Linked DNA regions of Oryzias latipes. The protein of the gene in region 1 purifies or fractionates together with the protein of each later gene. This does not show direct contact. Links are inferred from orthologs where the notes say so. Each region holds a gene or a part of one and is shown in the gene's direction. Other genes may lie near its edges. The genes, in order: peroxiredoxin-1 and txn.

Region 1 (4,326 bases):
CAATCTGACATTTTTTGAGTAGAATTCACGCAATCTCTACACAATTTCTGATAAGCGGATAAGAGGTTTGTACTAAAATGACTGTGGTTTCAATAATTTGGTAAAATGCCTGTAGATATTCTAGTTTAAAATAGACATTAGCAGCATTTCAGCCCACCTTCACATCTGTGGGAAATTGTGTTTCAAAACTGCAGTGCTGACTGAAACCACAATGACAGCCCCACAAGTGTCCTTCAAACGTGTACGATCACACGCCCTCATTATGCAGACATTAGGATGAGAAAGGGGATGAATGCAGGCCAGCGTTTGATCACTGGCTCAGAGTGCTGCTTCTAAAGGGGGTTATTGTGTTTCTCCCTCCAGTCTGGTCCTTGAAGTAGCGCTATGGCAACAGCCTGCAAAGATGCAGCTTGATTATAGCTGAAGACGGAGGGATGCTTCTGCCATGACAGAGAAAATACACAGAAGAACTCTTTCCAACTTTATATACACTATTGTTTACTCTACTGTGTGTAGTCTTATTATTATTATTGTTTGACCTCCATTGAGTTGTTTCCCCCTTTTGAGATAATATCAATCATGAGATCTGTGGTCATATGAACATTAAGTTAGAGTAAATGAGATCAGCTTCTGGGCAAAACAGAGAAATCTGAACGTTAGCATTTCACAATTCATACGCATCATCGCTCTAGGTGTGAGAAAATCACTAAAAGTGAGGTATCTAAATAAAGAACTAGACATAGGTTAATCATTTGACAAGACTGAATGATTCACATGAAGAGCAACCACTTAAGGATTATGCAGATCTATTTTTGTTAAACAGAAGACATTTTGTTGTTTTTCTTTACCTTTTTTGCTTTTATTTAAGCGTTTAGGGCTTGTAATTAAACAACAAGAAACCTCTTTCTGTGCGAGACAGTGTGTACATTATGTGTTCTGTTCCTTCCAGTAAATATTACAGAGGAGAGGAAAGCAGGAAATGAAAAAGATAAATGACTTTGGCAGCAATCTGGATAAGCACACAGTGTTGCAATAAAGTGTTTGAAGGAAGGGAGTGAGATTTTCCAGAAACTGCTTAAGAAAATATAATATCGTTGGCAAGAGAAATGCAGCTTAAAATACCCTGGTTGAAATATAACGTCTACAAGACTTTTCCATACCGGGAGTTTTTTTGTAAGGGCATGGCCAAAGTAGAAAAAAAGGAGAGGAAGAGTTTAAGAAATATGGATAAACGAAATGTATACTTGACAAAAGTTATGAGAAAAATTGAGAAAGCTACCAAACGCTGTTTTTCCCCTCGTCTGTGTTTTTAAAACAAATTAATGGCTTCATAAACTAGAGATGTTAGAAAAAAAGAGGCATCTCTCTAGCTTCCTTTTCATGAAATAGCAGTTAAAAAGTGCAGAGTCATGCTGAATGCTTCATTTCTGGAAATAGGGATCAAGGAAAGGTTCTGTTCTTGTTCGGTCGATGTTATCGCGAGATTTCTGGGCTTTATAAAACCTCCTGATAGCGCACTCGAGCCCGCACGTTCGCTTCTGACAGTTGGTGTGGCGTGATCGCTAAGAGGTGAGTACCATAATGCCTTCATCTTACCACCCCCCCCCCCCCCTCTCGTTTACTTGTGTTTTTAAAGGTTTTTTTTTTTTTCATACAGTTAAACCCGGAAGTTTTCAGTTCAACAAGTGTCTGTTTATTTCCGTTCGGGATTTGATTTCGTGTGGAAAATCAAATAACCAGATTTTTTATAACTTTTATTTCCCCATATTATATTAAATGAATTGGGTCTTAAGACTAACACTTTTGGGCCTCTAAACGTTTTCTTTCTTTCTTTTTTTTAAGCGTTGTGGGGCGTGAAAACCTCTCTGTTCCCCAAAACGGGGCGATCTTCTTTCCCACCAAAAGTAAAACATTTAACTTTGTCTCCCACATGCGGAAATGTAAACTAAAAGAGGCGCTCGTAAGCTGTAATAAATACTAGTTTAAGTGGACACTGTCTAAATAACATTCCAACTCTTTTTCAAACCATTCTCTCATTTGACGCTTTTATTTTGAAAAACCCACTTCATTGATCCAGTTCATTATTTTGACTTTTGTATCATGTTCTTTCTAAATGTTGTTATATTTCACGTATCCAGTTGATTATGCATTACGTTAAAACTCTTAAAACTACTACTCTTACTACTTCCTCTTTCATGGATGCATAGATTCGTGCTTTTTGTCTGGCAAACGAGGAAGGCTTTTTTTTTTTTTTTTATTTAATCCCACTTCCTCCTTCTGTATTTCAGTAAGGACAAACATGGCAGCAGGAAAGGCAAAGATTGGAAGCCTGGCCCCAGACTTTACAGCTAAGGCTGTGATGCCTGACGGCCAGTTCAAAGACCTGAAGCTGTCAGATTATAGAGGTAAAAGCCTCAGTCTATCTTGTAAACAATAATTAAGGCAGCGCAAGAGCACTAATACCTTATATTTTATTTTTCCTGTTTCACTCTTCCTACAGGAAAGTATGTCGTTTTTTTCTTCTATCCTCTGGACTTCACCTTTGTGTGTCCCACTGAGATCATCGCCTTCAGCGACGCTGCTGACGACTTCAGGAAGATTGGCTGTGAAGTCATCGCTGCCTCTGTGGACTCTCACTTTTCTCATTTTGCATGGTACTTTCAGATTTTTAACATAATACCTTGTGCTTCAACTTTTGCAAATAGTTGAAATCAATTTTTCTTTTTGTTTTGGTTTGAAAGGACAAACACACCACGGAAACAAGGCGGTCTGGGTTCAATGAAGATCCCCCTGGTGTCTGACACGCGCCGCACCATTTCCACAGATTATGGGGTCCTGAAAGAAGATGAAGGCATTGCTTACAGGTGACACAACAGAGTTTTTTTTATTTTTTTCTATTTGCACATCCCTAAATTAGACCTTAAAGTGTGGATGCCATGCTTTGAACAACTTTGTCAAATAAAAAAGCCCTTTAAACGCTGATTCTATTGATACCAATAGTTCGCGTCGAAAAAAATCCGAAGCATATGAATAATAGACATCTTTCGAAGGAATCAGAGATTTGGATCTGCCGCTAGAGCGCAGGCTGGAAGTGAACCCGATATGACCTGTGACGTCATGAAAGGCGTTGATTTTCGCAGTTCCGCTTCGGACAGCATGTAAACAAAACCGGTAGTCTTCGTTTCTCTCGTGTTTAAATCTGTTAATCATCAACATGCCAAGTCGTTGTGTGGCAGCTGGATGTAGCAATACATCTACTGAAAGTGTATCTGTGTATAAAATTCCCAAACAAGAAACGCTGCTGAAAAGGGGAAAGTTCAAGAAGGTGGACGGCGAAGGATTTTTCCCTCCAGATCTGCAGGAGAGAAGTCTGCGTTTTCGAAGGGACAAAAACCGGGACACAAACGAAGAATTTTGAACGGAGAGTTGGGAGGAGGATCTTGGCTTCTGAGTCGAGGAAAGGCGGGTGAGCTGGAAGCGAGCGAGCCGTTTTCTGGGTCGGAGAGGACGGCGCTGGAGTCGGGAGCGGAGGCTGCTAAGCTAGTGTGCATCACGATGGATCACATTGAGGCGAAGTAGTCGTGTTTTCTGTTGTCCTTGGATCCAACTGGAGTATTTCAACGCACTCAATGTTTTGCAAGAGAAGCAACAGGCCTGCAACGTTTTTTTTCTTTTGCTTTTGAGGTGCCGGTACCATGAGTAAACTAAACTGTGTGTGTGTGAGCGCGCGCGCGCGCACGAGAAAAGGTTTCAAACGGGTTCAAACGGGTAAAACTGTTAATGTTCCACAGTTGTTAATGGTATACAGTGACTTTGTTAACTAAAGAGTAGTAATATCTGGGAAACTTTTATTTTGTGACATTTATTTTGTAAATTGGGTTGAAAACCAGTGTTTACCTTTGTTTAGATTAGGCCAAAAGGGGACATTTTGAGTATATTTTAGGGTAAGTGGAGTAATTTAATTTTATACATTTTTTAGACTTGCTGGAGTCTAGCCGAATCTTCATGCTGGCTATCGTCATGATCGGCATGATCACTAGACCTACTACTTTCTGCTATATCCTCCTCACTTTCGCAAAAGGGTTCGAATCGATACGGTTGCAAAAGTGACTCATCATCATGATAATCTCCGCAACTTTCCTCTTCATCTTTCTGTTCATCTGATGATAAATCGCTAATAGAGACGGTAGCATCACTCTGTGCTTCGCTATCGGTGCTAGCCATGTTGTCTGCCTTGTCTTCCTTTCGTTACGTCACAAACAGGGCGGCGCGAATTCGGCGGAATGCGTGAAGCCGGCGGCCGTCCTCGTTGTTTATATTGCGTTT
Region 2 (4,610 bases), on another chromosome or scaffold:
TTGTGTTTTGTTAGGGCTGTACCAACTGAAGATGGTGGACACACAAGCATCCTGAAAGCCTCAAGAGGCTGATGGCGTGGTTCAAACAGGTAATGTGGAGCATCAATCAGGAATGAAAAGATTTCTGTGTCACTGCTATTAATTGTATACACACATGACGCCTCTGCAGGGAAAACTGCAATGTCGGGAGCACGTCACCAAAGGCTTTGAAAACATGCCAGCTGCTTTTAAGGGGATGCTGAAAGGAGACAACACTGGCAAAGCCGTTGTTGCTGTCTGATGGATGACCAATAAAGGTCTTTACACAATTAATGAAGGAGGATTTTACATATACTGCACTGAAAAATAACTACAAGATATGTATTGTCTTTTCAGTGTTTAGTGAATTAATTTTATTTTTAAAATACATATGTGTGAGATATGTCTGTATTTCTCAATAGAATGTAGTTTTATTTAAATTGTTTAGTATTTTTCTCTTTTTTTCCCGGACAAACGTAAATAAAAAGATTGTTTTCTTACAGCTGTGACACGGCTTCTACCTGAACGGGGAAAAAAATCCAAAAGTGACATTTGCTTGTTTTACAGCGACATAGATAAAACTGTAACCAGATATTGTTGTTTATTCTATAATAAAGGTTGTTTTTGGTCTTTATTGATGTATGCTGGTATTGCATGCATTGCCTAACTGATTTGAACTTGCATCATATTTTAAAGAATGGAATTATGCAAAGATACTTTTAAAAAATGTTTTAAGGTCTAAATTAGGCAATTCTTAGGCTTCAAATGAAGTTTCCTTATTTTTACGATAGAACCTGTTGGAACATTCACATATGTAGTCTAAATACTCAAATTCTTTATTCAAATATGTAAATGGAAAAACAAGTCTTTGTGTACCATCTTTTAGAATTAATCTTCTGATTAAATCACTTCCCTAAACTTATTCCAACCATGATCAAACTGCAATAATTTGTCTAAATATTGCAATTTTTTGTTATAGTATGGACTTTTCTGTTTATTGTTTACCCCTTACTTTAGTTGTAAAAGAATAAACAAATAAAGTCTTTTTAAGCTATTACGTAATAAGACTAGTGCAGGGGTGTGGCCTCATGGGCGTTGACCAGAGTTTGTACAAGGAAATATGGTCTGCAGTGACCATGTTTACGGTAGTACAGAAATTTGCCAAGTCATTGTGATTCGACTGTCTGATCAAGCGTTGACGGAATTAAAAACAAAAAAAGTATTTCAACTTACTATCGATATAATTCTCTAAAAGGACGCGTTATTGTTAGTAGATTAGTTTTGCAAGTTATTTTAAGCCGCAACGAAACAACAACGAAGCACTAACGGGCCTCAGATATATATAGCCTGACATCACCGATTCTGTAGTTTTTATTCTCAGTAAAGAGCTAAAATATTTGCAAGAATCCAGGAAAGGAAACCATTCTGTTTATAACTTTCAAAATAAAAGTATTTTTCGTGAAGCTTTACCAGTAATAACACAACTGCTGATACAACATGAAATCAAGTACGGTTACAACACATTTCATGCACAATCATAGTGGCAATGACGTATACACACGGCGTTCTTTTAATATAAATGATTCGCTTAAACATAAAAGACTGGCTTTTATTTTGTTAGTCAACCCATCAGCTCTTCCGCTGCGACGTGTTAGTCTGACGCCGTTATAAATAGGGCAGGTCATCCTCTTTGACTGAAAGTGTGGTCTTTGCGAAGCCGCTGTCTTTTAGATTCAGCGAGAGTTTGCCTTTTCAAAACAGCAAACATGGTCCGTGAAGTGGCTGATCTTGTAAGTAGTTCTATAAATACAATTAATCATGTCTTTATTTATTTCGCTGTACTACTACATACATTCAGGACAGCACAGTTGACGTTAGGTAGCCGCGCGGTTATTTTCTCAGCAAGCTTCTATCTACTTACCTTTTTTGCAAGAAAAAAAAACCCTGTTAAAGCATTTATTCGCTTAGAGTTAGCATGTTTATTGTCGTTGATGGAATAAATTACTCCGACAGAATAACTCTGGAGGCTGTATTGCTAATGTTTAGTTGTTTTTTCTTTTTTTCCATTTTCTACCCATGATGCACGAGGGCGGACTTTGCTATCTTGTTGCCGCGCGAACACGTTGCCAGGGTTACAAGTTTTCGGAAAGGTTTTACCGTTAACTAGATAAAAAATCTTTTAGTAATACACCAAAAAAACGTTCCTATCATGGCTCAGATGAGCAGAAAGCTACAATAAAGTACTAGTTTGAGTAAAAGTCAACTCCTATTTGCGACACTTGGACCATTCCGCTAGGCCTCGGGCCGCCTCTGTCCGTGTGTACACATGCCTGGATGTCAAAACTGCTGAAATCATTCAGACTTCTGGGTGTCACTGGTTGCGTCCGAATTCCTTCACTAATCACTACAAAGTGCACTGTGCGTTCGCCATTTTGTAGTGCTGTCCGATTCTACAATTCCAAAATCGAGTGCCCTGCAAATTTCCCAGAAATCTCCGCAAAAAAACAGTGTGCATCAATGCTCACTAGATCTGTGAATATAGATCACAATGCATGGCATCAAATCTATTTTTGCTTAAAAATGTATTTAAATGTACTTTCTGAACAACCTGTCAAGTGTTTTTATCTTCAGAAGACTGATAAATGATCCTCGCAAAATGCTCCTATCAATTAGATTTTAACTTCGTGAAATCGATGACGTCATATCCGCCGTAAATTAAAAAAAAAAGTAGTGGGCATGGTGTCCAAATTGCTTTTAAGTCGGTGCACTCTATAGTTTTTTTTAGAAGTTGGGGGTTAGGGTGGGAATTCAGATACAGCGACTGCTTTTGATCTGGGGCTGTTCTGCTAATCATTAGCCAAACCTTTGATAACCACTTATCGTTACACTATGGGAAAGCCTGCTGACAAAATGAAGTAATTTATTTAAACGAATTCTTTACCTTTATGCTTATTTAAAATAAATGATGGAAACATGCTTTTTTTGTAGGCAGAATTCAAGAAAATTCTGGAAGACGCTGGAGACAAGCTGGTGGTTGTGGACTTTACTGCATCATGGTGTGGGCCCTGCAAACAGATTGCCCCCTTGTACAAGGTAGATAACTGGAGCTTAAAGACTTGATCCGATGAAAATGTTTTTAACATGTTTTTGTGCCCATTTTCTGATAAAGGAGAACATGTATAAAGAAATTTAAGCTTAAAAATGCATTTCTGAGTACTTCTTTTTCTTATTGTGAATCAGTCACAGGCAAGAAAGGACAGTTTTGACAGAGCTTGTAGTTGTAATGTAGAAGCTACAATCTGCAGGCCACAAGCTCCCTGCTCCACTCCATACTGATGCCTCTACTTGCAGACAAATGGATCCATGTACGTCTTTGTTTTCCTCGTCTGAGCTGTCATCCGGCTCAAAACTGTATGCCTGATAGCTCCGATATTGCTCACCATTTTTGTTTCACCTGTAGTGTTAGGTTGGGGGTTTGATGGGCTTTAAGCTAGTCGGAGAGCTCGGAAGTTACAACCCCTCTCTGTCAACCGTCCCAACCAGCGAATAGAAACAGGGGGACCAATTGAAAACGGTGTTTAAATGTAGATGCATTGTTACTATGGCAACCCTATAAGGTTTACCTCCCCACTTCAAGGAGAGGAAGTGCTTGTTCACAGGAAATGGTCCAACACACACCCAGTATGATTTTTCAGTAAAAGTGCTCTGTTTCTGTAGAGTTGAGTCTAATGTACTGTTGTTGTATGTACTTGTTGTCTTGCAGCAAATGTCGGAAAGCGATGACAACAAGAATGTGGTTTTCCTGAAGGTGGATGTGGACGAGGCTGATGTGAGTGTGCACGTTCTCCTCCTTGGCCAGTACAAACTAGCTTTGTTTTAATGGGCAAAACCAGCTTTTGTTTTTAGTCTCTCTACTTTATGAAAGCGTTAGGTTGCAATTGGGGGCCAGCAACAATAATTACTTAATAATTGTATTTTTATTTTTTTTAATTTTGATTCATAAAAAAAAACTGTTGCTTTTTCTCTTTCAGGATATCAGCAGTTTCTGTGAAATTAAATGCATGCCTACATTCCACTTCTACAAGGGGGGCAAAAAGGTAAGTAACTGAGTGCAGTAGTTGAAAAGTTTATAACTTTTTACAGAGGTTCTGATGACTTCCTTTAAAAAAAGAGACCCTGTGTCACATGGGATCATTAAGAGAGTCTTACTGTATTTTTCAAACCATAAGGTTATCTTAAAATCCTTGTATTTGTAAAATACTATTTATAAATTGAGTGTACTTACTGCCCTCAAATTGATTTCCTTTGGTACATGGGGCCCAAAAATCTGCCAAAATGTTTTAGTTTGACTTGTGATGCGTCCCGTCTGTCAAATGTTGTGGAATGAGTTGAATGAAGTTTAAGTTTACTTTGTCTTTTTTGCTATTTAAAAGGAAAACCTCTTTGTCTTTCTTTAACCAGAGAGCCATGTGTGCCCTGGTTTAAGTGATCCCTGTTTAAGCCCTGTGTAAGCTTGACTTAAACAATTAAACCAGCCTGGAAGCCCTAATGTCCATCCTGCAGTAGCAGAAACGGCTAGTTTTTGTTTGCAA

What was found.
Region 2: the proteins of peroxiredoxin-1 (region 1) and txn purify together in Homo sapiens (affinity purification with western blotting; 3 studies listed by BioGRID, with this or other methods). This does not show direct contact. The link is inferred for Oryzias latipes from reciprocal best matches to the Homo sapiens genes PRDX1 and TXN.

The regions. Positions count from the first base shown.
Region 1 is NC_019875.2:16,491,876-16,496,201, reverse strand, and holds the start of peroxiredoxin-1, read left to right. Parts: upstream 1-1,444; 5' UTR 1,445-1,569; intron 1,570-1,842; exon of another isoform or gene 1,843-1,904; intron 1,905-2,288; 5' UTR 2,289-2,299; coding exon 2,300-2,405; intron 2,406-2,500; coding exon 2,501-2,654; intron 2,655-2,741; coding exon 2,742-2,864; intron 2,865-4,326. UniProt on the Homo sapiens protein: Thiol-specific peroxidase that catalyzes the reduction of hydrogen peroxide and organic hydroperoxides to water and alcohols, respectively.
Region 2 is NC_019876.2:18,250,104-18,254,713, reverse strand, and holds the start of txn (thioredoxin), read left to right. Parts: upstream 1-1,587; 5' UTR 1,588-1,784; coding exon 1,785-1,808; intron 1,809-3,006; coding exon 3,007-3,111; intron 3,112-3,781; coding exon 3,782-3,847; intron 3,848-4,049; coding exon 4,050-4,115; intron 4,116-4,610. UniProt on the Homo sapiens protein: Participates in various redox reactions through the reversible oxidation of its active center dithiol to a disulfide and catalyzes dithiol-disulfide exchange reactions.